7 linked regions of the Macaca mulatta genome follow. The protein of the gene in region 7 interacts with the protein of the main gene of each other region in a pairwise test. Links are inferred from orthologs where the notes say so. Each region holds a gene or a part of one and is shown on either strand. Other genes may lie near its edges.

Region 1 (4,005 bases), on a different chromosome or scaffold from region 7:
TGATTGGACAAATATGTGCCGAACACCTACCTCATGCCTGGCGCATGCTGGAGGCTGGGGTTGTATCAATGCAAAAGTCATTCCCTGTATTTAACACTTAAATGAATTAGTCTCTTTAACTCTCCCAACGCCCTATAAATTATTTGCTCCATAATACATATTAGGAAGACAGAGGCAGAGAGATGAAGTGCTTTGCTCGTGACGGTCACGCCGCCACCGGTCACGCCGCCACCGGGACGCGAGACAGGCAGTCGTCCGGCTCTCACCCCCAAGAGCACTACATTATAAGGTAGCAAAGTGAAGACACGCTGTCATTAACTGAGCTGCTGTGTGAGGCCGGGGACGGACATATCTTTCTGAAGCACAGAGAAGCGGTTATACAGGGAAGTTTGGGAGAACTGGGTTAAGTCCGCATGTATGGAAATTGCCAGTTTCGTGGGTCACAACGTCAATATTGTGGGCAACCTTGGACTGACTCAATGCGCAGTTGGAGACAGCGACGAAGTGCAGAGCGTCCTCAGCCGGTGACTAGACTCCCTAGGAACTGGCGGCGTTGGCAGGAGAAGAAAACAGGCATGAGAACGCACCCACTGTGCACCGGAAACAAACAGAAATTGCGCCACCCCGCGCCCAGTCTACTTTTCAGATGTAAAGGAATCGGGCAGATCGCAACTCCCAGGCATCCCGCAAAGTAGGCGGGTCACCTTAGGGGCGACCTTTACCCGCTCAAAAATTCGTCTCACATTAGCAGTGAGGATTCGGGCGTCACCCCGAATCGTTATTTTCCTTACTCATAAGTTTAAGGCATAAAGAAACAGTAACGCTTATTTCCTAGGTAATGAATCATATTCTCATTTGGCGTATGATGAGTATCATAGTTGACCGTTGAGGTAATGATCCACTTCCATTGAAGTTTGTCTTACTCGTTAATGAAATTATTTTGTTGCTTTTCATTTAATGTTTTTTCTTCGGAGAGAATAAATAATTCATAATGTGCCGACCTTCTGTATGCAGATGAGCAGCCAGCTCCGCGAAGGCTCACGGGGAGCGTCCCCGCCCCTTCCGGTTCTTGCTTGCGTTTAGCTGGCTGTCGCGAGAGTTGGTCGGCGGACGTCGGAAGTAGTTCGTCGCTCTGTAGCGGCCGAAGGGGCGGGCTCGCGGGCTGGGGGTGTCTCGGCAGCTTTCGGCTCGCTCGGCGGAGCAAGATGGCGGACATCTCCCTGGACGAACTCATCAGGAAGCGCGGGGCGGTGGCGAAAGGACGGTGAGAGACCTTTCTTTTCTTCGGGGTTTCGGGTCCGCGGCATAGTGGAGCTCGAGGCGGGGGAGGGAGCGGCCCGGGCGCGACGCGGAGGACCGGGTGCGCCCGCCCCCAACAGCAGCCGCGCTCCTCATTGGCCGGGCCGCCGCCGTCGCCGCAGCGGCCCCGACCGCCCGCCCACTGGCCGAGGTGCAGTCCCTCCGGCGGGCCTGGGAGGCCGACGGGGCCGCGGCTGGACAGGGTGCCGCCTCGTGGACTTGAGGGGCTGCACCCTAGGGCCCCCGCGTTCCGGGGTCCGGGAGTCTCGGCGGTGCAGCCCCCTGGCCTGTCTGGACTGGCATTTGGGCCCCGCTCCGTGATCTCGGGGCTGCTTGGTCTCCACCTATCTTATAGTTGAGGCAACCGAAGTTTAGCAGCAGGGAAGTGACTTGCTCCGACGGCCGAAGCTGAGGCGCAAGCCCAAATCCCCGTCCACGCGGCCTCTGTTAACACTCGCCTCCCTTTGTGCGGCGTCTTAAGTTTTCTAAGCCTGTTCGTATAAACGATGCCTCGTTTGATCTTTCACGGTCCTGTTGTCTGCTAGCAATTCATGTTACTCCACTTTTACTGATGGGGAACTTGAGGCTGGGAGTGGTAGAGTGACTTGCCCGAGACCACGGAGAACTGAGCGGCGGGGCTGAGTGCGATTTAATTGCTGGCTGAGTTGGCCTCCTGCATGGGCTTGAAAAACAAGTGGGCTGGGCTGGAGATTGGTTATTTCCTTAGGGAGAAGAAAGTGCTTGAGCTGGGTGAGGAGCCATGGAGGTGATTTGCAGTCATGTCTCCCAAACTTCCCCATGACCGTTAAATGTTATTAGTCATTTCAAGTCTTTGTGAGCTGAGTTCACCTGTATGAAGAAGTGAGAACTTTGCCCAATAGTTTCCCAACACGCATTAAGTTTAAGTCTTTGTAAATAGCCAGGATGTAAATATGTTAGATACTGTTTTCTCAGACATATGTTTTCTCAGCAGATGTTTATTTTTATTTATTTTTTGAGACGGAGTGTTGCTCCGTCGCCCAGGCTGGAGTGCAGTGGTGCGGTCTCTGCTCACTGCAACCCCCGCCTCCCCGGTTCCAGCGATTCTCCTGCCTCAGCCTCCCGAGTAACTGGGACTACAGGTGTGCACCACCACGCCTGGCTAATTTTTGTATTTTTAGTAGAGACGGAGGTTTCACTATGTTGGTCATGCTGGTTTCGAACTCCTGACCTCATGTGATCTACCCGCCTCGGCCTCCTAAAGTGCTGGGATTACAGGCGTGAGCCACAGGCCCGGCCATTCAGCGGATGTTTATTCATATCACCCGTGTGCCTGTGGCTAGGTTTTTCTCTTGATGTCTGAAATGTATCCCTCACCTCCTTCCCCATCTGGACACTTGTATCAACTACAACTGCCACCACCACCTGGTAATTCGCAGCCAGCACTTACCGGGCTTCTGGTTCATAACGGGCATGCATTAGTATTTGTTTCCTCAGCTACTGACTGCGAAAGCTTTCTCACATCTCCGCCTAGTGTCTGATGTGAAGTTGGCGCTGGCTCCTCTGGCCACTTCTAAATCCATCCAGGTTTTGTAGGTTCCTTTGGAAACGACAGAATGATTGACACCAGGTTCTTCTCTCTCTGAGGTCACTCCCCCAGTTTCTGACTACAGGTGGACCGCACTGTAGTCTATTTGATCTGTACGGTTTTGGCTTTAGTGTGTGCAGAGTTTTGTGTTGGGCAGTAGGTGGGGCTGCAGGAATGGGGTGAGGGGTATGTGTGGATCCACAGGAACAGGGGCCTTGCAGTTGGATATACCTGGCACGTGAAACAGTTGGGTTCTGTTTCCCTGGCCAGGGGACTTCTAAACTAGGCAGTTTCCTCATTTGTAATGGTGATTCCTGGTTGAAGGAATTAAATGTGAGAAAGGTTTTTTTTGGTTTTTTTGGTTTTTTGTTTGAGACGGAGTCTCGCTCTGTCGCCTGGGCTGGAGTGCAGTGGCCGGATCTCAGCTCACTGCAAGCTCCGCCTCCCGGGTTTACGCCATTCTCCTGCCTCAGCCTCCCCAATAACTGGGACTACAGGCGCCCGCCACCTCGCCCGTCTAATTTTTTGTATTTTTTAGTAGAGACGGGGTTTCACGGTGTTAGCCAGGATGGTCCTGATCTCCTGACCTCGTGATCCGACCGTCTCGGCCTCCCAAAGTGCTGGGATTACAGGCTTGAGCCTCTGGACCCGGCCGGGTTTTTTTTGTTTTTGTTTTGAGATGGAGTCTCACTGTATTGTCCAGGTTGGAGTGCAGTGGCACAGCCTTGGCACACTGCAACCTCTGCCTTCCGGGTTTAAGCGATTCTGCTGCCTCAGCCTCCCAAGTAGCTGGGATTACAGGTGCCTAACACCACACCTGTCTAATTTTTGTATTTTAAGTAGAGATGGGGTTTCACCATGTTGGCCAGGCTGGTCTGGAACTCCTCACCTCAGGTGATCCACCCCCCTCGGCCTCCCAAAGTCCTGGGATTACAGGCATGAGCCACCACGGCCCGCCAGAAGGTATGTTTTAAAGTTTGTGCCATGTGGCAAGTGTTCAGCAAAGGCTGGTAATTATCTTGAACCTTTCCTTAAAGGAATAGAAGCACACAGTGCCCCTGGAGCATAGGTGAGCACTGGGACTCTGGAGTCACCGTCAGGGTTCCAATCCCCGCTTCTCCCACTTTCCGTAGAACCCT
Region 2 (3,500 bases), on a different chromosome or scaffold from region 7:
AGAGTAATAAATATCAGCACCAATTTAACAGAATCATGTTGGCCAAACCAAGGGAGATTGAATGGCCCTTGAGATGGCTGATCATACCATCTCAGGAGGATGGGCTTCAGTCCTGGTGCCACATACTGATTAAGAAGCAATTCAAGTCTGGCACAATGGCTCACGCCTATAATCCCAGCACTTGGGATACCAAGGTGGGTCGATCGCTTAAGCCCAGGAGTTCGAGACCAGCCTGGGCAACATGGTGAGACCCCCGTCTCTACAAAAATTTAAAAATTAGGCCGGGTGCGGTGGCTCACACCTGTAATCCCAGCGCTTTGGGAGGCCAAGGTGGGTGGATCACGAGGTCAGGAGATCGAGACCATCCTGGCTAACATGGTGAAACCCCGTCTCTACTGAAAATACAAAAAAAAAAAAAAATAGCGGGATGTGGTGGTGGGCACCTGTAGTCCCAGCTACTCAGGAGGCTGAGGCAGGAGAATGGCATGAACCCAGGAGGTGGAGGTTGCAGTGAGCCAAGATCGTGCCACTGCACTCTAGCTTGGGCGACAGAGCGAAACTCTGTCTCAAAAAAAAAAAAAAAATTTTAAAAATTAGCTGGGTGTGTTGGTGTGTGCCTGTAGTTTCAGTTACTCAGGAGGCTGAGATTAGAGGATCACTTGAGCCCGGAAGGCAGAGGTTTCAGTAAGCCAGATTGCACAACTACACTCTAGCTTGAGTGACAGAGCTAGAACCTATCTCAAAAATTTTTTTTCAAAAAGCAATCCAGAGCAGAACACAAATTTGAGGGTATTTGAAACTAGGATGGCCAAAGGATTGTAAAAAGTACCAAGAATGTCTACCCTAGAGAATAATTAGACAGGACATCAACAGCTGTCTTCAAAAAATTTTAGGCCTAAAGTTTAGAAGAGTAACTCTATTGTCCTTTGAGGCTCCTGGGGAAAGGCCTAACATCAGTGGATACTAAGTCTTAGCGATAAAAGATCATGTCTTGCCTCTAAGGTTAGTGAATGCTCCTTCACCCTCTACCATCAGTGACAGTGTACTGACAAGGGACACCACTTTCCAGGAACATTACAGAGGATTCTGGAATTCTAGCAGGGACTGGGCCACCAAGTTCCCATCCAGTGGTGGCGTATAGTGAGTCCAGGTTCTTAGTTTATCTATTTACTCTGATTCGCAATGTCTCTTTTCTCAAACTTCTGCCTCCCCTGCTTCCCCTTCTCCTTCTCCAGTGGTGATTCCCATAAGCCAAGACAGACCATGAAGGAGAGGTCGGAAAAAGAGAGAACAGAATCCAGAACACAGAGCAAATGATTCTGGGTAAAGCTCTTCAGATATACAAGAGCTTTTAGGCCTCCCTCTGAGGTCTACTTACCCACGCCCAGGCCTTTCTTTTATTTATATTATTTTAACAAACCACAATAACCAACTGTGGTGAAATAATATGTGGCAGTCCGCTTGTAATCCAGGAGGCAATGAGGATCTGGGATACAAAGGAGGCTGCAGTGCCCTGCAGAAGGAGGACAGGCAGGACTGGGGAGGTCAGGGCTAGGACCTTGTTTTCTGGATAGAATGTAACTTGCTTGTTGCCACTATTCCTCCCTGCCTCTGTGTCCCTGCTGGGGTTAAATTGTGGAATTATAGGATAAATCAGCATGTTAATGGGAGACAGGAGGGTGCTCCTGGAGAAACCAATTGGTTTTATTTAGGGAGCTCTTGTATGATTTTCTCCATCTGCCTTGACATTAACCCCTTGCCTTCCTCATTCTCTCTCCAGCCAAAGGGGTTTCGGCGTTACTACAGCTCCCCCTTGCTCATTCATGAACAGTTTGGCTGCATTAAAGAAGTTATGCCCATTGGTGAGTCGGGACATTGATGGGTTGAGTTGAGTTTGAAGCAGCAAAGTTAGTAATGGCTTCCTCCCAGGGCTGCAAAACCCGTGGGGTATCTGTGTACTTGTTTGGTGGCTGTTTGGGGTATGACTGTGTGTTCTGCTGGAAGGGAAACATAAAGTGGACCAAATTCTCCAGGAATTTTCATCCTTTCCCTGATGAAGCTCAGAAAACACCTAAGTCCCAAAGGCTTAGTAATCCCACCGTCAGCAACATGGTGAAGTGGAAAGAACACAGAGCATGGCATCCCCCAGACCAGATTCAAAGCCCAGCTCCCTATTGACAACTGCGTGTCTTTGAACAAGTTACTTGACCTGTCAACCCCCACAAAATGAGAACAGCAATTGCTGCGTTTCATAATTGCTATAAAAAATAAATATAGGTTATACACCAATGCTTAGTAGGAGCTCAGTGAATACATTATTCTCTAATGAAGATCAAAAGATACCCTATATTTATTGATAGCTTTGGCTTGGATTTCTTCTCTAACAATATTTTTCAGTTTACTTCTATTATTTTTTTTCTCTCTGAAAATCTCGACATCTATTTTTGTTTTTTCAGGGGGGCAAGTTTTAAACTAGAAATTTGTAAATTAGAAAGCTTTCAATTAGAAATTAATGAGGCTCAGTAGTGACAAGTTATTTCTAAAACAGTTGCCTCCTACTGCAAACTTTGTGTCTCAAGGCTTTGTACCTTGGTGAGCACAGCCTCCCAGTAGAGGAAATAAAGCTGGTCCCTGTAAGAACCTGGAAATTAGAGAGGAGTAATGAAAGAGGAAATCCAATCAGGAAGAATTTGGGAGCAGAGTACTAGTTGGTACATGGCAGGACCTGCAAACGGGAGCATGCTGCATGGGGGCGCATCTGTGAGGAACACTTGGCCGTGAAAGCCCCGTCTACACAGAGGCTGAGGTCCTCTGCACAGAGCCTGCTTCTCAGGTGCTGTTCACCCAGGAGATGTGGTAAGCAGTTGGCTGGGTCCTCTCAGATGAGCTTCCTCAGATGAACTTTCTCTTCTGTTGCAGCCTGTGGCAATAAGGTGGACCCTGTCTACGAGACCCTCCGCTTCGGCACCTCCCTGGCCCAGAGGACAAAGAAGGGCAGCTCCGGCAGTGGCTCTGACTCACCTCACAGAACCTCTGTAATTATCCTCTTCCTTCCTCAGTTTGTCTATGGCGGTCCTGGGCAGAGTGGGCCTCAGGACTCCAGTATGGGGGATTCCACCTAACTGCCTCATGAGCACAGGTCTGCAGGGAGTCAGGCACCTGCCAAAGAGAAACCCAAAGTGTTTTGAGCCATTAAGGATTAACTTCCTGTTGTCAACACCCAGGGATTATTTTACTCTCCTGCCCAAAGACCATCCCCTTGGCCTCATGTTTCTTGACCCTTCCCGTGGACCCCCTCTCCTTTACCTTCCCACCAATATTAGATAACAGATGAGTCAACACACATAAATGTTTGGCTCAAACAATGGTCAGGAACTTGGAAGTCCTGGCTATTTCCAGTTTTCCTTTTAGCTACATTCCAATTCAAAGACACAGCTATTTCTCACATCTTTTGTCTTTTCTCTGTAAGAGAGGGCACGCCTCTTGATTGCACACAAAAC
Region 3 (4,215 bases), on a different chromosome or scaffold from region 7:
GAGGCAGGAGAATGGCATAAACCCGGGAGGCGGAGCTTGCAGTGAGCTGAGATCCGGCCACTGCACTCCAGCCTGGGCGACAGAGCGAGACTCCGTCTCAAAAAAAAAAAAAAAAAGGCACAAGGAATTCTCTGCTGCTATTCCCCTCTTAACTAGCAACCCTCTAGAACTAAAGCGCTTCCTTAAACAGCCAACCTTAGGCTGTTCCTACAGAAGCGATTAACTTTTTGTGCCTTGACAGTCTGATACAGCCTACGAGCCGAATGATTTCATAAATACATAAAACACACAGTAGTACAAAGGCAACCGACTGTATCGAAACACCAAAACATTTTAAATGTCACGTTCTATGACATTACAGGACAAAGACTTGGCTAGTCATCCAGCAACTACCCTAATTTTGAAGAAACGAGAATGATTGATAACTGAAAACATCTTCCACAACTGTAATGCTGAGATCTGAAAATACTAATGCGGCGTTTTTTTTCGGGGTTTGGGGGGAGGAATTACACTGTTAACTGAAAACTAAACTTGGGTACACAGAAAAAACACATCTTCCTCATTCAATTTCACGGACCCTCTGAATGCACTAAGAATATCTGCTCTAAAACGTCTAGTAAAATAATGAATCCATAGGAGGTAGAGTCACAGATTCTCAAGGTGGGAGAAGGGTATTAAAAGTCACACGGCTGAGCGCGATAGCTCACGCCCGTAATCCTCCCACTTTGGGAGGCCAAGGCGGGTGGATCGCTTGAGCCCAAGACTTCAAGACCAGCCTGGGCATCATGAAACTCCGTCCCTACCAAAAATACAAAAAAAAAAAAAAAAAAAAAAAAAAACCCACAAAGAAAGAAAAAACCCCTAAAAACAAAACAGAACAAAACTCAGCCGGGCATGACGGCGCGCGTCAGTGATCCGAGCTACTTGGGAGGCTCGCTTTAGCCCGGGGGGCAGAGGTGAGCCGAGTACCATAACTGCCCTCCAGCCTAGGTGACAGAGTGAGACATTGTCTCAAAAATATAAACAGGCCGGGCGCGGTGGCTCAAGCCTGTAATCCCAGCACTTTGGGAGGCCGAGACGGGTGGATCACGAGGTCAGGAGATCGAGACCATCCTGGCTAACATGGTGAAACCCCGTCTCTACTAAAAATACAAAAAACTAGCCGGGCGAGGTGGCGGGCGCCTGTAGTCCCAGCTACTTGGGAGGCTGAGGCAGGAGAATGGCGTAAACCCGGGAGGCGGAGCTTGCAGTGAGCTGAGATCTGGCCACTGCACTCCAGCCAGGGCGACAGAGCGAGACTCCGTCTCAAAAAAAAAAAAAAAAAAAAAAAAAAAAATATATATATATATATATATATAAAAAAACAAAAAAGTCACTCGTTAACAAAATACCCCTAAAACTCCCTTAAATATCCCATAAGATACGCAGTACTACGGTTTAAGATTTATGTCTCTAAAAGGAATTTTAATGCAAGTCTAAAAATCCCTAGAACAAAAATAGTACGCATGGAAACACCGTATTTACGGTAACTAGCATAAATTTCCATAGCAATGAAAACGAATATTAGAGTGTTCCTCCTTTTACAGGATTTTACTTCCTTTTTAGCTATTAGACCTCCACCTTATTATACATAAATTGAAGCGTTGTGAAAATTTAAAGAGCTGCCTTCCACTGGCAGTCTAACCCTAGCCAAACCTCATGCCAATCGAAAACCAATTAATAAAAATAAACTCAACTTTCAAGTCACTGTTAAACACTGCAACTAATCAAACAATTACTGCATTTAAAAAATGACGTCGAGACAATGGGACTTACAAAGGCAAACGGCGTTAACACTGCATTCAGATCATTTTTATTTACTTTTTACGAGCAACTGCAAAGCGAGAGCGCACTAACGTTACCATAGGATCTTGGCACTGCGCCTAAGAGCAGAATGAGGCCTCCAGGCAACACAAAGCGGAGGAAAACGCTCATCCCACTGATCCTTTTTTTTTTTTTCTGTCCCCACCCACCACTCTGAGGTAAGCGAAGGGTCCCGGCAACCTTGCGGTCTTCGTGGAAGGGGGCGCTGCATCTGCCCTGAAGCTGCGCCTGCATACGGGGCAGAGACGCCAGCGGCCATGATGAAGCCGCCATGTTGCAACGGCCATTTTACAACGCAGTTCTCCCGCCCCGTGGCGCCAAACCCACCCCCATCTGCAGCTCCGAGTCTCCACCGAACGCGACCACCCCGGGGCTCCAGGGAGCACCTAACCGCCGGTCGTGGCTGCCCAAGCGGCCGGGCGCGCTGCAGGACAGCCAGAAACCACCGCCGCCCCTCCCCCCGCCGCCACATCACTTCCCCTAACCGCCGCCATGGCGCCTTGGTCGCCTCCCTACAATAGGCTGCTCTCTCCGCGCCCTCTTCCTCAGAACAATAACAAACACTTGACGAGGGTGTGCCACGCGCCAAACGCTCCCTCTCCCACTCTAACGCCTGCGTAGCACTCTCGCTTCACAAAGCGCTCACAATGACGCATCGGAATTGCCATCCGCAATGCGCTTTCCCCGCACAAAGCACTATCCGCCGCCTTCTCAGGGTGCACCCCGAGCCACCCCCGGCCCTCAAACCTCAACCACCTCGAGCCCGCCTCCATCTCCTGCGCCGTTAGGTGCCTTTTTCCCAAAGGCGCACACTCACCCTCCTGGAATTTAGGCTTCGGGTCCTGCTTCGGCGCCATTTATAAGTGATTCGCCGCCTCCTCCTTCTCCCACCACCCCCGACTACCGCCCCCTACTCTCTACCCCACCCAACTCCGCGTCAGACGCGCCGTCAGGCACTGCCAGCTCTACATCCTGGGCCGGATTTGCCAGCGCCCGCAGACCTCACAGCAGCGCGACCCGCGCAGCCGCTGCTCCAGCCAATGACAACCCGCCGCGCCCGCGCCCCTGCGCCCGCGCCGCCCCGGGGCACGCCGGGACTGGTAGTTTCTAGTTGGTGGAGGCGCAGCTGGGTGGGGGAGGGGCCGGCTACCCTACCCCACTCCTCCCCACCCCCCCGCCACTCCCCATCCCCCGGGCTGCTGCGGGTTGGTAAAGCGGGGAATTGATTACGTGGGAGGTTAAAGCAGAGCGGGCAATGGGGGAGAGTCGGGGCGGTGAACCACCAGCGATGAAAAAATGGGAAAAACCCAGTTGCGACGTCCTTTGGGCAAATAAGCCCCCATTGATGTTGAAGTAGCCGGAGAGAATAGGGCTGCCTCGAAAACCTATATTCAATAGCATTCCGCTAGTTTTTGCATAGAAAAGCTTTAGGATCAGCAATGTGGCCACAAGAGGATGGGAAGTGGGGTCCGCTTCTGGAAGCTTCGTTGTTTAGCAAGCCCACTGCCTAGTCTATTTGGTGGGATTGATAGCCATTTGTTGGCTCCCAGGTCTACCTCCTCTTCTCCAGTCCCGGCCTTGCGGAAATGAGGAAGATGACGTGGGAAACACTAGTCAGGCTTTGGCTTTTTGAGATAATGGAGCTCTGCTATCCGCAAAAGGCTAGTGTGAATATGCCAACCTCTGCATTCCGTACCTGCCCTGTTTGTACTTTTTTGTCATCTAATTTTTTGAGCCATGATTGAATGTACACACACTAAACAAACGGATTTCTTCAATATTATATATTTTTCTTTTCTTTTCTTTCTTTTTTTTTTTTTTTTTTTTTTGGAGATGGAGTCTCGCTCTGTCGCCCAGGCTGGAGTGCAGTGGCCTGATCTCGGCTCACTGCAGCCTTCACCTCCCAGGTTCAAGCGATTCTCCTGCCTCAGCCTCCGGAGTAGCTGGGATTACAGGCACGTGCCACCACGCCCAGCTAATTTTTGTATTTTTAGTAGATACCGGGTTTCACCATGTTGTCAGGCTGATCTGGAACTCCTGACGTCGTGATCCGCCCGGCTTGGCCTCGGAAAGTGCTGGGATTACAGGAGCAAGCCACCGTGCCCAGCCTGCCTCCATGGCTTTTCTAAGCCCTCCCCTGCCCGGGTTCCACACCCTACCATTTCCGGGCCCCTCTCCATTTTTCTGACTTCCATTTCTCCTTCAGTCTTTTTAACACAACCCCTTCTTCGACAACAGAAACCCACAAAAATCTTCGTTATTCCAGTTGAATATACACCATCTTGTCACGGCTGCTACTTGCAAGCTTGTCCAACCTGCCTTATTTTCCTGTTGTTTTGTTTTGTTTTGTTT
Region 4 (3,500 bases), on a different chromosome or scaffold from region 7:
TATTTATAAATCTATGAATATATTTGTAGAATTTAATTTGTAGAAATATATTTCTAGAACTGGAATTGTTGAATTGTCAAGTGAGCACATTATGAAAATAAAATATAGACAACTTTCTCTTTAAAAAGGAGACACCAATTTCCACTTCTAATAACAACAGGAAAATACCCATTTCACCATGCCCACTCGACACTAAGCATGATCAAACTTTTCATTTCTTTTAACTTGTTAGGTATTTTAATGTACCCAACATGAGGTATATTCTAATATATGTTGAAATATACATTAGATGGAATGTCTTTTCTTATTTTTGCAAGCCATTTGTACTCTTTTTCTGTGATTCCTTTTTTTTTTTTTTTGATAATTATTTCTATTGGTCAGCTCATCTTTTTTCTTATTGGTTTATAAATTAAGAAAATTTATATTTTCCTAATTATATAATTAAGAAAATTGGCCATTTCTTTCCAGTTAGAAATTCACCTTTTCACTTTGTGTGAACAAAAAAGGTGTTTGTGTGTGTGTGTGTGTGTGGGCATATGCTGTACAGTAGCTTAAGACTTTGTCAAATTTAGTCAGTTCTTTTGGCTCCTGGATTTTCTGTTTTGGTTCAAGTTAGTGGTTTCCAAATGTGGAATCTCAGCACACTGTGGTACTGCAGTCACATGGAGGTGCTGCAGTAAAAATGTACTAATAAAGAAGACCTGGGGTTTGTGAATAATTTGCTTTTAAAACAAATATGCTTAAGTTTTTAAGCCTGGTTAAGGTGCATAATCCACAGCATTTTATATCTATGCCAGCACAGTAACTTTCTCAAAGCCACAACACTATTTTGTTAGAATGAATTCCAACCTTCTGTGCATCAACGGCAGGGGAAAAAAGCTGATTCATCTTATTAAGATTAAATAAATGTGAAGAGCACATGATTATCTTCTCAAATGTAGGCTGTGAGCTGCAGGTAACACCCAAACAGAGGTTTTGTAGAGCGAAAGGGGAATGTCAGCAATTACCCTTGCACTTGTTCCTGATCAGCTCACCTGAGAGGTGACAGGTTCTAATTGCATTTTCCACCAGCTTCCGGAACACCAGGAGGACCTTAGCGGGCACAATGTCTCCATCGATGTTCACGTCTGTCTCATGCCACTGCCACAGGCTCTTCATAAACTGTTCCACCTCCAGCCACTGCTGCAGACCCTCAGGGTCCCGCAACGGGCAGGGCAGCCTGGTGCCCTGCAGGGTGTAGTACCGCCAGCGCTGCTCCCTGGCCTCCCTGTACCCAGCCAGGCCTTTTATTGGGACTGTGACAAGGAACTGACTGGGGGCCAAAACCTAGGGTCAGGAAAGGATTGAAAACAAGCATGAATTCACAGATTCGGGAGGTAACGGAAGTCCTGGGAGCCGACCTGTCTCGCCAGGCAGCTCTCTTCACCACTCCACCCTCAGTAGTGTGACCTGATACACAGAGACATAGACCTGGGTGTTACAAGTGGATTACCTCTTTGTTCTGCTACTGAATCACTGTAAATACTTTGGGCAAGTAAATTAGCTCGCTGAGTTTATTATCTTATGACTATACAAGTAAAGACAGTGAGCTAGACCAGGAACTCCAGAGGAGGCCTAAAGTTTGAGAAAGAAGAATGAGTATGCATTGAGTTCCCTGCAGTCGCGACACTGCAATTCTAATGCATTTGACCATTTCAACTTCACAATCACACAGTAAGGTGAGCTTTGTTGCCATTTTCCAGATGAGGAATCCAAGATGCAGAGGGGCTTGGAGATCTCCCCAGGGACACACAGCCAGTAAGTAGAAGAGTCAGAATTCGAGTTTAGGTCTTTGGACAGCTTGTTCAGTTATTATTTCTCTACCCTGGGCTGGCACTCAGCCAACAATGAATGACATGGAATGGTGAATGTTTTGACACAAATAAAAGGTGGGAAGTAACAGAAAGGGAGTTTAAAAGATTTTGTAAAATGTCTCCTATTTTTGGGTTGGGGGGGCCTGTACTGATGACCCATGGTCAGTGTTCATGACTAACCCTTCCAAAATCAAAGGGAAAATGAAAGCTTATTTGTTGAGACAATGTGAGCTGTTGAGATAATTCTAAGTTTAAAGAAAAAAAGCAAACAATCAGAATCCGCCTAATCCCTTTCTCCAGGAACCAGTGAAGCAATGACTGGGGGAAAGCAGGCAGACCAGCAGCCAAGAGATAGAACAAGTGGGTAAACAGAGCAGCCAAAGGAGCCTGAACTCTGACCATGTCCCACTTCACACACACCTTCAGCTGTGAGTCAGCTGCCTCCTCCTCACGGAAAGCTCTGACCATGGAATTTGGTTAACTCTTGCCCAGGGCCAGTCATTGACCCATTGAGGGGTGAATGTCCTAATCAGCCCCAGCTGGATCTGCCTAACTCTAAGAAAACAATAGTTTGATGTTTTAGATGATGTATCCACATGACTTCTGGTACCCACAGAAAGGTAGCTGGATGTAAAAACAGGAAAAAAACATCCAAAGTCCCTGGAATTTCCGATCTGTACATTATTTCAATTTACTTTCATGTGAATTCAAAAGCAGAACTATCATGTTGTTAGTCATGTAAGTGGTGCTTAGTAAATATTTGTTGAGCAGCCTGGGCAATATGACAAAATCCATCTCTACAAAATAAAAAAATAAAAATAAAATTAGCCAGGCATGGTGGTATTTGCACCTATAGTCCCAGCTGCTTAGGTGACTGAGGTGGGAAATCACTTAAGCCTGGGAGGTTGAGGCTGCTGTAAGCCATGATCTCACCACTGCACTCCAGCCTGGGTGACAGAATGAGACTCTATCTTTAAAAAACAAACAAAAAAAACTTGTTGAATTTGATCTAAGTTAAAAGCAATTTTATATGCTATGCTGTAGCTATTTTTGAAACTTAATATGTAAGACATGACATATATAAATGTAAGATATATTTTAAGCTATGAATTCTAAGTAGGACCACGGAAGGAAATTTCCTTGGGTGTAGTGCTAAGAAAAGTAATGTAATATCTCTATTTCCAGTCACTGTGACCAAGTTAGATTGGCCTGGGTGGGAGAGTTGGGCAAGTGATGCTCTAGCATTCCAGGATTCAATCTAGTTTTATATTTTTCACCCTGGGATTAATTTCCTACAATCTGACTCTGTTTCAAAATCCACAAATCCCAGCATCTCTTGGGTGGTTCTTGCATCCACCAAACTTGAGATGTAATGGGCCAGCAATGGTCTTTTGTTCAGGTACTAATTCTTTTGCTCATTCATTTATTCATTCATTCCACATATGTTAAGTGTCTACCATGTGCCACACACCATGCTGGGTGCTAGGAGCAAAACAATCGGTAAACATGGTCCTTACAATCAAGGGATGTGCAGTCTGTTGTGAGAAATGGGCCATGAGTACATACAAATTTAACACAAAGTGAAAGAGGTATGTGGCATAATAAAAATCAAGATAAAGAATGGTGGAGATTCAGAATGATTCAGAA
Region 5 (2,191 bases), on a different chromosome or scaffold from region 7:
AAGTTACAAAGCCTAATGGCAGGTCTGGAACTAGAACCTGGGCCTCCTGACTTGTGCCCTGCTCTTTCCACTAAATCTCGATGCCTCAGGTTCGACCCAAACCAGAAGGCAATGGGGCACATGTCGCCATGTTGTCCAGGCTGGTCTCAAACTCTTGAGCTCATGCAGTCCACCAGCCTCAGCCTCCCAAAGTGCTAGGATTACAAGCGTGGGCCACCACGCCCGGCCACTCAGTCTTTAAAAGGAAGGAAATTCTGACACATGCTACCAAGTGGATGAACCTTCAGGATATTATGCTAAGTGAAATACGCCAGTCACAAAAAGTAAATACCATATGATTCCATGTATATGAGGTTCCTAGAGTAGTCAAAAAGCATAGATACAGAAAGTAGACTGGTGGTTGTCAGGGGCTGGGAAAGGGAGAAATGAGTTATTTTTAATGGGTACAGAGTTTCAGTTTTATAAGGTGAAGAGTTATAGAGATGGATGGTAGCGATGGTTGTATAACGTCATGAATGTATTTAACACCACCGAACTGTATACCTTAAAATAGTTAAGGTAGTAAATTTTATGTTATATGTATTTTACCACAATAAGAGAAGTTGGAAAAAAATATATAGCTGCTAAAAATTACATTTGTAAAAAATATATTTTAAAACATAGGAAATGGACTCAGATGGTATTTTTTGTGTTGTTGTTTTGGTTTGTTTTTGAGATGAGGTTTTGCTCTGTTGCCCAGGCTGGAGTGCAGTGGCATTATCACAGCTCACTGCAGCCTCGACCTCCCAGGCTCAAGCAATTTTCCTGCCACCGAGGCCACCTAGTTTTTCTATTTTTTGTAGAGGTGGGGTTTTTCCATGTTGCCCAGGCTAGTCTCGAACTCCTGGGCTCAAGTGATCCACCAGCCTTGGCTTCTTAAAGTGCTGGGATTACAGGCATAAACCACTGCACCTGGCCCATTTTTTTTTTTTCTCATGAGGTTAGTTTAGTTAGAAAGCTGGTTAAGAGTGGGCTCACACGTGTAATACCAGCACTTTGGGAGGCTGAGGCGGGTGGATTGCTTGAGCCCGGGAGGTCGAGCTGCAGCGAGCTGTGATTGTGCCCCCGCACTCCAGCTTGGGCAACAGAATAAAACCCTATCTCAAAAAAAAAAAAAAAAAAAAGAAAGTTGACTAAAAGTATAAGTAAATATGTAGAAAAAGTATTGTATGGAGATATGTAAAAATATCAATATGGTTTCTGTGGATATGGAGATTGATGACAAATTTGAATCTTATATTTATTTTTTATCTTTTCTATGAGAAGCATGCAGACTTTAAAAAAACTACCTCATAAGCAGAAAAAGTTACTTCAATAGCAAAAAGATCCATTTATATGAAGTTCTGGAAAAGGCCAAACTATTGGGATGGAAAACAGATCAGTGGTTGCCTGGGCCTGGGGGACCTTTTGGTGGGGTCACAAGACTGGATACAACTATATCCATTAGTCAAACTTCAGACAAGGAGAAAGGTACTCTATGTAAATTATACCTCAATAAACCTTTCTAAAAAGAAAAAATGTAGGAAAACAAAACAAAACAAAACAACAAAAAAACAACAAGACAATTCCTGATTCCCGTAGCTATTTATGGTGCAAAGCTGTAGCTGACCCAGGGAAGCTGGAATATGTCCCTTTCCTAAAGGGCCACTTTGGGGTTCAGAAGCTGACATTTAAGGGAAATAAAGAGCTAGCAATAACTAGAAATCAAGTTCATTGGCCAAGTCTGCTTCCTCACCACCACTGCCATGCCAAGGTCCCGGGCCAGGGTCTTCAGCTCTCGGGCCAGCTGCATCATCAAGGCCAAGCCTGCAGGACGAGGAGAAGCAGAGAGGCAGGGCAGTGGAAAACCAGGGACGGGACTGGCCAGAGACCAGACTCCAGAGCTGGGAGGCGAGGTCACGTTCCACTGGCCCCAGGCTCTGCCACATCACTCACCTTCCCTCTGCTGACCTCCCAGAAGTGGGGAGACCACCGCAGTGACCGAGTCCACCACCACCACCTTCATAGTCCCTGAAGAACCAGTCACCTAAAGGAATGTGGGGGAAGCACTCATGAACCTGTTGGCCTCTAGGACACATTACAGGACAAGCTTGCTTTTCTATCTAAAACTAGTAAGAAATAGCCCCCCTCATCCCAAATACAGCAGGCTGCA
Region 6 (3,500 bases), on a different chromosome or scaffold from region 7:
CAGTCTATAAATGAGACAATGTAAGAAAACTTGTAATATGGTATCAAAAATGGGAGGATTTTAAATATAATCTCAATTGTTTATAGTTCCTCTAATGCATTTGTGCAACATTTTCTGGAAGAGAACAAAAGGGAAAAGATAGATTTTGCCCTGCATTGTATGTTTGAGCATGGTTTTTCTCTCTTAGAGGATAAAGTGTATTATGAAGTTTATCCTCACTTTCCAATTTTCTCCTGAAGAATAACTTGTCCCACAAACAGATCTACTACAGGATCACATGTGCAAAGCATCCTATCAGCTATGCAGGCACATACTTAATAATTTGAGGATCTTTAAATGACATCTCTGAACACTAGTTAACTAGAACCATGGGCATGTGGCCCAAAATACAGGGGTTGAGCATCTGTTTCAAGTCCAATCACCTACTCTTGTTTCAGAAGACAATTTCTGTTCTTTTATCGGGAAATATCTAGTTGAGAGATGCGTATCTCAACTCAACCATGTGCTATAGCATTCCTATGTTCCACATATGGGTTGGCTCTTGGAAAAGTCAACAGTATAGGATTATTTTTCCTGAACTATTTAGCGACCCATTCCTCCAAAATATGAACCAACTAGTCCATAAAACAACATACACACACCACTGCATGCACATGCGCACACCTTTCCTCTTCCTGACTTTAAAGTAGGTTTTAGGCTTGCACTTGAGAGAGCTACCATCTCAGCCTTGGATTCAGCATTTAGCATGCTTCCTTAGAGTGTGTTTCACACCCAACTCCATAGTGATCATTTTAAAGAGCAGTTTGTTTCCTGAGGAAGCTTTTGTGGTTGACCAAGAGATACGTTATTGTTCGCAAACACCCACTTGCTTTATGTGGTTCTTCAAACTAAGAAACGTTCTTACTGTCTCTATAATTCCTCCTCATTTCTCTTTTTCATGATGAATCTTTGTAGGGACAAAAATTCCCTAAAACCTCCTTAGCCAAGTATAGCTGAAAGCTGCAGCTAGGAGTGATTTATAAAATCACAGCTAATTTCTTGTGCCTGAAAGCTGGGACCCACACTGCAGCCTAGATTTTGTTGTGACTCTCGGTAAGAATGTTTTATGCAGGGACTTCTCATTTTAATATCCCATGCTTGACCTGCCTGATACCTTATTAAGGCGTTTTATTTCACATTCATAATGTTCCTTCTCCTCGTTCACAAGAGCATTTTTTTCCTTTAAAAGCTTATTCTCTTCCTTCAATTCATGTAATTCTTCATTTAGGCGTTCCTTTTCCTTCTGAAGTAAAGACCAAGAAAAGAAAAGAAAAATCAGTACAAGTCGAACGAGATGATATTGTAGGAATTCTGATATATCGGCCGTGGCAGGCAGATTGAGGGGTCACCCTTCTGAAATACAATAAAAACAGGACCTGCAAGACTTTAACTTAACGTCCCACTTGAGCGATATTCTTTGGATGAATGCTAGAATTAGGATTGAAGGAATCTTTCTTTTACCAGAATTTACTGAAGTATCTTAGAAATTTTGCGACCCCAGGGGAAAAAAAAAATCAAATTTCCCAATTCTGGTTTGTTTTGTTTTGTTTTTGTTTTTGTTTTTGTTTTTGTTTTTGTTTTTTAAGATGAATTCTCACATTGTCGCCTGGGCTGGAGTGCAATGGTGAGATCTCGGCTCACTGCAACCTCCGCCTCCCGGGTTCAAGTGATTCTCCTGCCTCAGCTTCCCTAGTAGCTGGGATTACATGTGTCTGCCACCAGGCCCAGCTAGTTTTTTATATTTTTTAGTAGAGACGGGGTTTCACTATGTTGGCCAGGCTGGTCTCAAACTCCCGACCTCGTGATCTGCCCGTCTCAGCTTCCCAAAGTCCTGGATTCCCAATTCTTACTTTCAATTGTCAAATAAATGGGTCTGCAGGATAAGCAAGTCCCTATGTACTGTTACTAGGTGATGGATAAGCGATTAAGAAACATAGCTGAAATGGCAGAAAGAAAAGGCTTTCAGCTATTTCTTACTGTCATTGTAAGAAAACAATCCGAAATGTCTCAAAGCTCATTCCTGCATCATTCTGTATTAGAAAGAGGGAAAAGAGAATAATCTTTAGGCCAATAAGACCCTTCATTACAGATCTTATTTAGAGCACTCTATTGTTGTGATTATTATTTTTAAAAGGGAGAAATCAACTAGTCCAACTGCCACCACTTCTCCATGTTTTAGATTATCATCCAGAAGTGCAGTGTTTTAAACAACTGAAGGTTAGCTGCTTAAACATCAACAGGCTCTGGATTCAGACAATATCTCCCACCTCTTAATTTTGTATAACAGATAGCAAACATTTTGTGAAGTAAATTGGATTCTTAGTGAGATTGAGATTTTAACCCAGTAAAATAAATATTGCAGAAAATAGGTAACTCAACATGCAGAAATAACTAATATATGTGTTAAAGTGTATTATTTGAGCAACTCATATTTCCCAATATGATTACAAAATTTAAGAAATCCGCTTTAGGTAATTCATTTTCTTTAAAAGGGAAAATATTTCTACTTGCTTTTATTTAAATAGAATGAACATATACACTTAGAAAATAAGCCAATTATTTTCTAAGTTAGCATAATTTAAGAGAAAATTATTCCAATGAGAAAATGGTCCCAACTGCATTGAGGGAAAAATTACTCAGATTCCTGGCTAGGATGTAATTGGAAAAGGAAATGACTGCTACATGGCAGAAAGGGAGTGTTGCTAAACTCTGCTTTCCTGACTCACTGTGACAAAGACATCCTCAGCAAGGTAGGAAAACCTGGACTGGCATTGTCTGTGCTAATTTTAGACATTGCCTTAAGATTTCTACGTTTTAAAATATTGCCAATGCCTCACGATATCAGTAATAAGACATTCCCTCAGAGTCTTTACACTTTGTTTTTTCTTACTATACCTAAAATAACAAGGGACCATTAGAGTTTAAGGTTTTCTCCCTTTTTCTACAATATTCATGAAGTCCTATAATGGAAAGTAAAACCAGGACAAAAAGAGTGTTTTTTAGGAAAAGCTGTCATCTCAACACCATCCAGTTCTCAGCAAGGGACTGATGGAGCTTTAGAATCTGGAGGTTGGGTTCCAGTCCCTTTTTATCAATGTGGGCAATTCAATTTGTTTACATCTCAGCTTTCTCATCTTTAATATAGCAAAAATAATTATTTTGCTGACAGGTGGGCCGAGAATGTTAAATGAGATAATGAGGATGAGGCCTTTTAAAAATGTCATAAATTTATGGTTACAGAAGTAAAACCTCATATGTAAATCTCTCTGTAAGCTTGAAAAGCTACTGCACAAATACAAAGTACTGCCATATTATTATTATGAACACTACTAATAAAAATAATAAATACGAATAAAAGCAAAAGAAAAAAAATAATTTTCTCTTAGGCTGAAATGCCCTAGAGAGTCAGCAAATCTATGGATCGGTTTTCTTCTTCCTGGAAGGGCCTGGGGGATGACTGT
Region 7 (3,500 bases):
CTGGATGTAGTTGTGCTGCAGCTGCTTCTGGTAGCGGATCACCTGCTCCTTCTCTGCCTGCCAGGCCAGCCGCTCCCCTTCAAAGCTGTCCCGCTGCTCCTCACCCCGCCGCCGCTCCCGCTGCAGCTCCACCCGCAATCGCTCCACCTGGGCCCGCAAGCTGCCCCCAACCCCGGCTGCTGCCCGCTGCACTTTGGCCTCATCACTCTCTGCCAGGAGGAATGGGTCAGCGGTGGCAGGTGGCACAGCGGGCTCCCGGAGTCCAGCCGCCTCAGCATCCAACTGCCCAGCTTTCTCCCGCAGCCGCTCGGCTTCCTGGCGGTGTCGCTGCAGCTCCTGGGAACAGGCTTCCAGCTCCAGCTCCCGAGCTCGGGCGGCCTCCTGTAGACCCCGCGCACGGCCCTCACTGACCCGCAGGGTAGCACGGGCCTCCCGCAGTGCCACCCGCAGGGCCACCAGCTCGCTGCCCTTCTGCACCAGCTCTGCCTGAGACTCCTTCAGCTGCTGCTTCAGCAGGGAGATCTCGCCTGATTTCTGGCACACCTGGGGGTGGGAGGCAGTGGGGAAGGATGGTGAGACAGGTTCTCCTGGGGGGACAGGCCCTGTGCATCATGCTGGGCATTCGGGAGGAGAGTCCATCTTTATCCCCATTTTATAGATGGAGACACTGAGGCAAGTCTAGTGACATGTCCAAGGTCATAGAGTGAAGATGTGGCTTAAGTGGAAAGCAGACATAGATTTTTTTGCTTCAAAGTTGGTGTCTTCAAAGCATCACGAGACACTGTGGAAGTACCACCGAGCCCTGGGGACTGGGTGCTGGCAGGTGCTGCAGGAGTGGGGGCAATGGAGGGCAGTACCCAGGTGTCTACTGGAGAGGTACTACAGTGACTTGGTTAAGAGCTCAGATATTGGAGCCAGACTGCCTGGGTTCAGATTTGGCACTCCAGTCTTTCTGGGCCTCAGTTTACTCATCTCTAAAATGGGGAGACTAGTGGTAGCCCCCTCAGTGTTGTTATAAGGATGAAATGATCTGTCCCATGTAACATGCTTAGAAGAGTGCCTCCACACCACAAACACCACATTCTTACTACTGGCTGGAGCGTGGCTTTGTGCCACTAGACAAGGCCAACAAGGAGACCCTCCTCCCAGAAAGGAACAGAGGAGAACTTCATCTCACGGAGGTGAGGAAGGGGAGGACCTCTGGGGGTGGCAGGCTGAGGGAGGGTGCGGCTGGGCCCCTTTTTCCAGGGTTTCTCCCTGTGTGACCCTGCTCCCTGCCCCTCCTGGTCTGGCCCACCTCCCACTTGGTCTCCTCAAGCCTTGGCCCGAGCTCCCGCTGCTCCCGCTCCAAGGTGGCGCAGCGCCGCTCCAGCTGTTCACGCTCCTGCAGCAGCTGTGCAAAGTCATCCTGCAATTGCCGCTTCTCCTGCTGCAGCTGGAACACCTGCAGCTGCAGCAGCTGTTGGGCCCGCTGTGCCCGCTGTGCCTGGGCTGCACAGTCCTCTCGCAGGGCCTCGCGCTCTCGCTGCCAGTGCCGCTGCCGCTCCTCGTATGCCTGCAGGCGAGAAGACAGACCCAGCTCCTGGGCAGTTTTCCCAACTCCCCACTCAGTGTCTGCCTGGCGGCCCACTTCTGAGGGCTCAGGAAGGGTGTATTCCATCAAACAACAATAGTAATTGCAACAATACTAACTGCTTTTATAATGATCATAGAAACAAACACAAGAGCAAGCAGACCGGGCTCGGTGCCTCACGCCTGTAATCCCAGCATCTTGGGAAGCCGAGGTGGGTGGATCACTTAAGCTCCGGAGTTTGAGACCAGCCTAGGCAACACAGCAAAACCTTGCCTCTCCAAAGAACAAAAATTAGCTTGGTGTGGTGGCGTGTGCCTGTAGTTTCAGCTACTTGGGAGGCTGGGGTGGGAGGACTGCTTGAGTCCAGGAGGTTGAGGCTACAAGGAGCCGAAATCGCGCCACTGCACTCTAGCCTGGGTGAGAGAATGAGACCCTGTCTCAAAAAAAAAAAAAAAGCACTTGGCCGGGTGCAGTGGCTCAGGCCTGTAATCCCAGCAGTTTGGGAGGCCGAGGCGGGTGCCTCACTTGAGGCTAGGGGTTCGAAACCAGCTTGGCCAACATGGTGGGAACCCCGTCTCTACTAAAAATTCAAAAAAAAAAAAAAAGCAAGCATTTATGTATAGCATTTCCTAGATACCAGGCATTAGTCTAAGCACTTTACACCTTTTGCCTTATTTAATCCTCATAACAATCCTATGAAGCTAGAAATATCCCTGTTATAGATGAAGAAATAGAGGCTGAATAAAGTTAAGCAACTTGCTCAAGTCCAAAAACTGGTATTTAGCAGTGGGAGGTTTGAATCCATGCACTCTGACTCCTTTCCACCCCACAAGTTTTGTTTTTTGTTTCTTGTTTTGAGATACAGTCTTGCTCTGTTACCCAAGGCTAGAGTGCAATGGCAAAATGTCAGCTCACTGTAACCTCCTCCTCCTGGGCTCAAGTGATCCTCCTACCTCAGCCTCCCAAATAGCTGGGACTACAGGTACATGCCACCACACTCAGCTAATTTATTTTTAGGAGAGATGGGGTTTCCCCATGTTGCCCAGGCTGGTCTCAAACTCCCGAGCTCAAGCAATCCGCCCACCTCGGCCTCCCAAAGTGCTGGGATTACAGATGTGAGCCACCACGTCTGGCTATTCCACAAATTAAACCAGACAACTGGTGGGGAGGGCAGGGGGGTCACAACTACAACTACCCAACCCCTCTTCCCTGCTAAAATGGAAATGCCCCTTTCATTCCCCAGGCCTTGGGATGTCCTGCCATGCCCCTTCCCCATCATTGCCTCTGACCACACCTGGCACATGGTAGCCTCATTCTCGTCCAGACTGTCCCGCAGCTGCTGAAGCTCTGCCTCCCGCTCTCGGAGCTTTCCTTCCAGGACACAGTGCAGCAGGGCCTCGTCGGAAGGAGGTGGAGGCGGGGGTGGTGGTGAGCGCTCCCCACAGGAGCTGCTGTCAGGGGAGGCCCGGGTACCACTGCCCAAAAGCCCGGCAGCCACACGGCCCCCCAGGGAGCCTGTGCTCTTGCTGGAGGAGGACCGGCCACTGTCTGAGTGGGAGGGCCCAGTAGGGACCCCTCGGGCTGGCCCAGGCAGTGCCCCTCGCCCAGAGCCATGGGAAGGCAGGTGCCCGCCTGGGGAGCTGGTGGTTGGCTCGGCACCTCCGGTGCTGTAGGTGGGCAGGCTGGACAGTGAGTTTCGGCCAGAGTCGGATAGCGTCCCTGATGGGCAGCCACTGGCCCAGCCACTAAATGCCAGGGGTTTGTCAGCAGCTGAAGAGGAGGAGGAAGAAGAGGAGGAGGAGGCAGGGCCCCCAAACAGCTGTGTCAGGCTGCCCTGGCTCCCAGACAGCCCGGTGGCCCGAGGACCCATGAAGCTAGGCAGGGACGGAGCCCCTCGAGGTTTGGGCAGCACTGGCTTGAAGGCTGT

What was found.
Region 1: the proteins of LZTS2 (region 7) and POLDIP3 interact in a two-hybrid assay, tested with the Homo sapiens proteins (2 studies listed by BioGRID). The two-hybrid records come from large-scale screens. The link is inferred for Macaca mulatta from reciprocal best matches to the Homo sapiens genes LZTS2 and POLDIP3.
Region 2: the proteins of LZTS2 (region 7) and STAC interact in binary tests that used the Homo sapiens proteins (3 or more experiments, as listed by UniProt). The two-hybrid records come from large-scale screens. The link is inferred for Macaca mulatta from reciprocal best matches to the Homo sapiens genes LZTS2 and STAC.
Region 3: the proteins of LZTS2 (region 7) and MORF4L1 interact in binary tests that used the Homo sapiens proteins (3 or more experiments, as listed by UniProt). The two-hybrid records come from large-scale screens. The link is inferred for Macaca mulatta from reciprocal best matches to the Homo sapiens genes LZTS2 and MORF4L1.
Region 4: the proteins of LZTS2 (region 7) and MAB21L3 interact in binary tests that used the Homo sapiens proteins (3 or more experiments, as listed by UniProt). The two-hybrid records come from large-scale screens. The link is inferred for Macaca mulatta from reciprocal best matches to the Homo sapiens genes LZTS2 and MAB21L3.
Region 5: the proteins of LZTS2 (region 7) and RAD51D interact in binary tests that used the Homo sapiens proteins (3 or more experiments, as listed by UniProt). The two-hybrid records come from large-scale screens. The link is inferred for Macaca mulatta from reciprocal best matches to the Homo sapiens genes LZTS2 and RAD51D.
Region 6: the proteins of LZTS2 (region 7) and TNIP3 interact in binary tests that used the Homo sapiens proteins (3 or more experiments, as listed by UniProt). The two-hybrid records come from large-scale screens. The link is inferred for Macaca mulatta from reciprocal best matches to the Homo sapiens genes LZTS2 and TNIP3.

Annotation. Positions count from the first base shown.
Region 1 is NC_133415.1:8,869,453-8,873,457, forward strand, and holds the start of POLDIP3 (polymerase delta-interacting protein 3), read left to right. Parts: upstream 1-1,205; coding exon 1,206-1,264; intron 1,265-4,005. UniProt on the Homo sapiens protein: Is involved in regulation of translation. Is preferentially associated with CBC-bound spliced mRNA-protein complexes during the pioneer round of mRNA translation. Contributes to enhanced translational efficiency of spliced over nonspliced mRNAs.
Region 2 is NC_133407.1:12,066,823-12,070,322, reverse strand, and holds part of STAC (SH3 and cysteine-rich domain-containing protein), read left to right. Parts: intron 1-1,780; coding exon 1,781-1,862; intron 1,863-2,919; coding exon 2,920-3,035; intron 3,036-3,500. UniProt on the Homo sapiens protein: Promotes expression of the ion channel CACNA1H at the cell membrane, and thereby contributes to the regulation of channel activity.
Region 3 is NC_133412.1:57,080,683-57,084,897, reverse strand, and holds the start of MORF4L1 (mortality factor 4-like protein 1), read right to left. Parts: upstream 2,801-4,215; 5' UTR 2,721-2,800; coding exon 2,681-2,720; exon of another isoform or gene 2,611-2,680; intron 2,529-2,610; exon of another isoform or gene 2,336-2,528; coding exon of another isoform or gene 2,044-2,335; intron 1-2,043. UniProt on the Homo sapiens protein: Component of the NuA4 histone acetyltransferase (HAT) complex which is involved in transcriptional activation of select genes principally by acetylation of nucleosomal histones H4 and H2A.
Region 4 is NC_133406.1:124,151,810-124,155,309, forward strand, and holds part of MAB21L3 (protein mab-21-like 3), read right to left. Parts: intron 1,327-3,500; coding exon 1,035-1,326; intron 1-1,034.
Region 5 is NC_133421.1:44,622,762-44,624,952, forward strand, and holds part of RAD51D (DNA repair protein RAD51 homolog 4), read right to left. Parts: intron 2,066-2,191; coding exon 1,975-2,065; intron 1,846-1,974; coding exon 1,775-1,845; intron 1-1,774. UniProt on the Homo sapiens protein: Involved in the homologous recombination repair (HRR) pathway of double-stranded DNA breaks arising during DNA replication or induced by DNA-damaging agents. Bind to single-stranded DNA (ssDNA) and has DNA-dependent ATPase activity.
Region 6 is NC_133410.1:129,984,752-129,988,251, forward strand, and holds part of TNIP3 (TNFAIP3-interacting protein 3), read right to left. Parts: intron 1,283-3,500; coding exon 1,154-1,282; intron 1-1,153. UniProt on the Homo sapiens protein: Binds to zinc finger protein TNFAIP3 and inhibits NF-kappa-B activation induced by tumor necrosis factor, Toll-like receptor 4 (TLR4), interleukin-1 and 12-O-tetradecanoylphorbol-13-acetate.
Region 7 is NC_133414.1:113,067,078-113,070,577, reverse strand, and holds part of LZTS2 (leucine zipper putative tumor suppressor 2), read right to left. Parts: coding exon 2,868-3,500; intron 1,556-2,867; coding exon 1,298-1,555; intron 544-1,297; coding exon 1-543. UniProt on the Homo sapiens protein: Negative regulator of katanin-mediated microtubule severing and release from the centrosome. Required for central spindle formation and the completion of cytokinesis.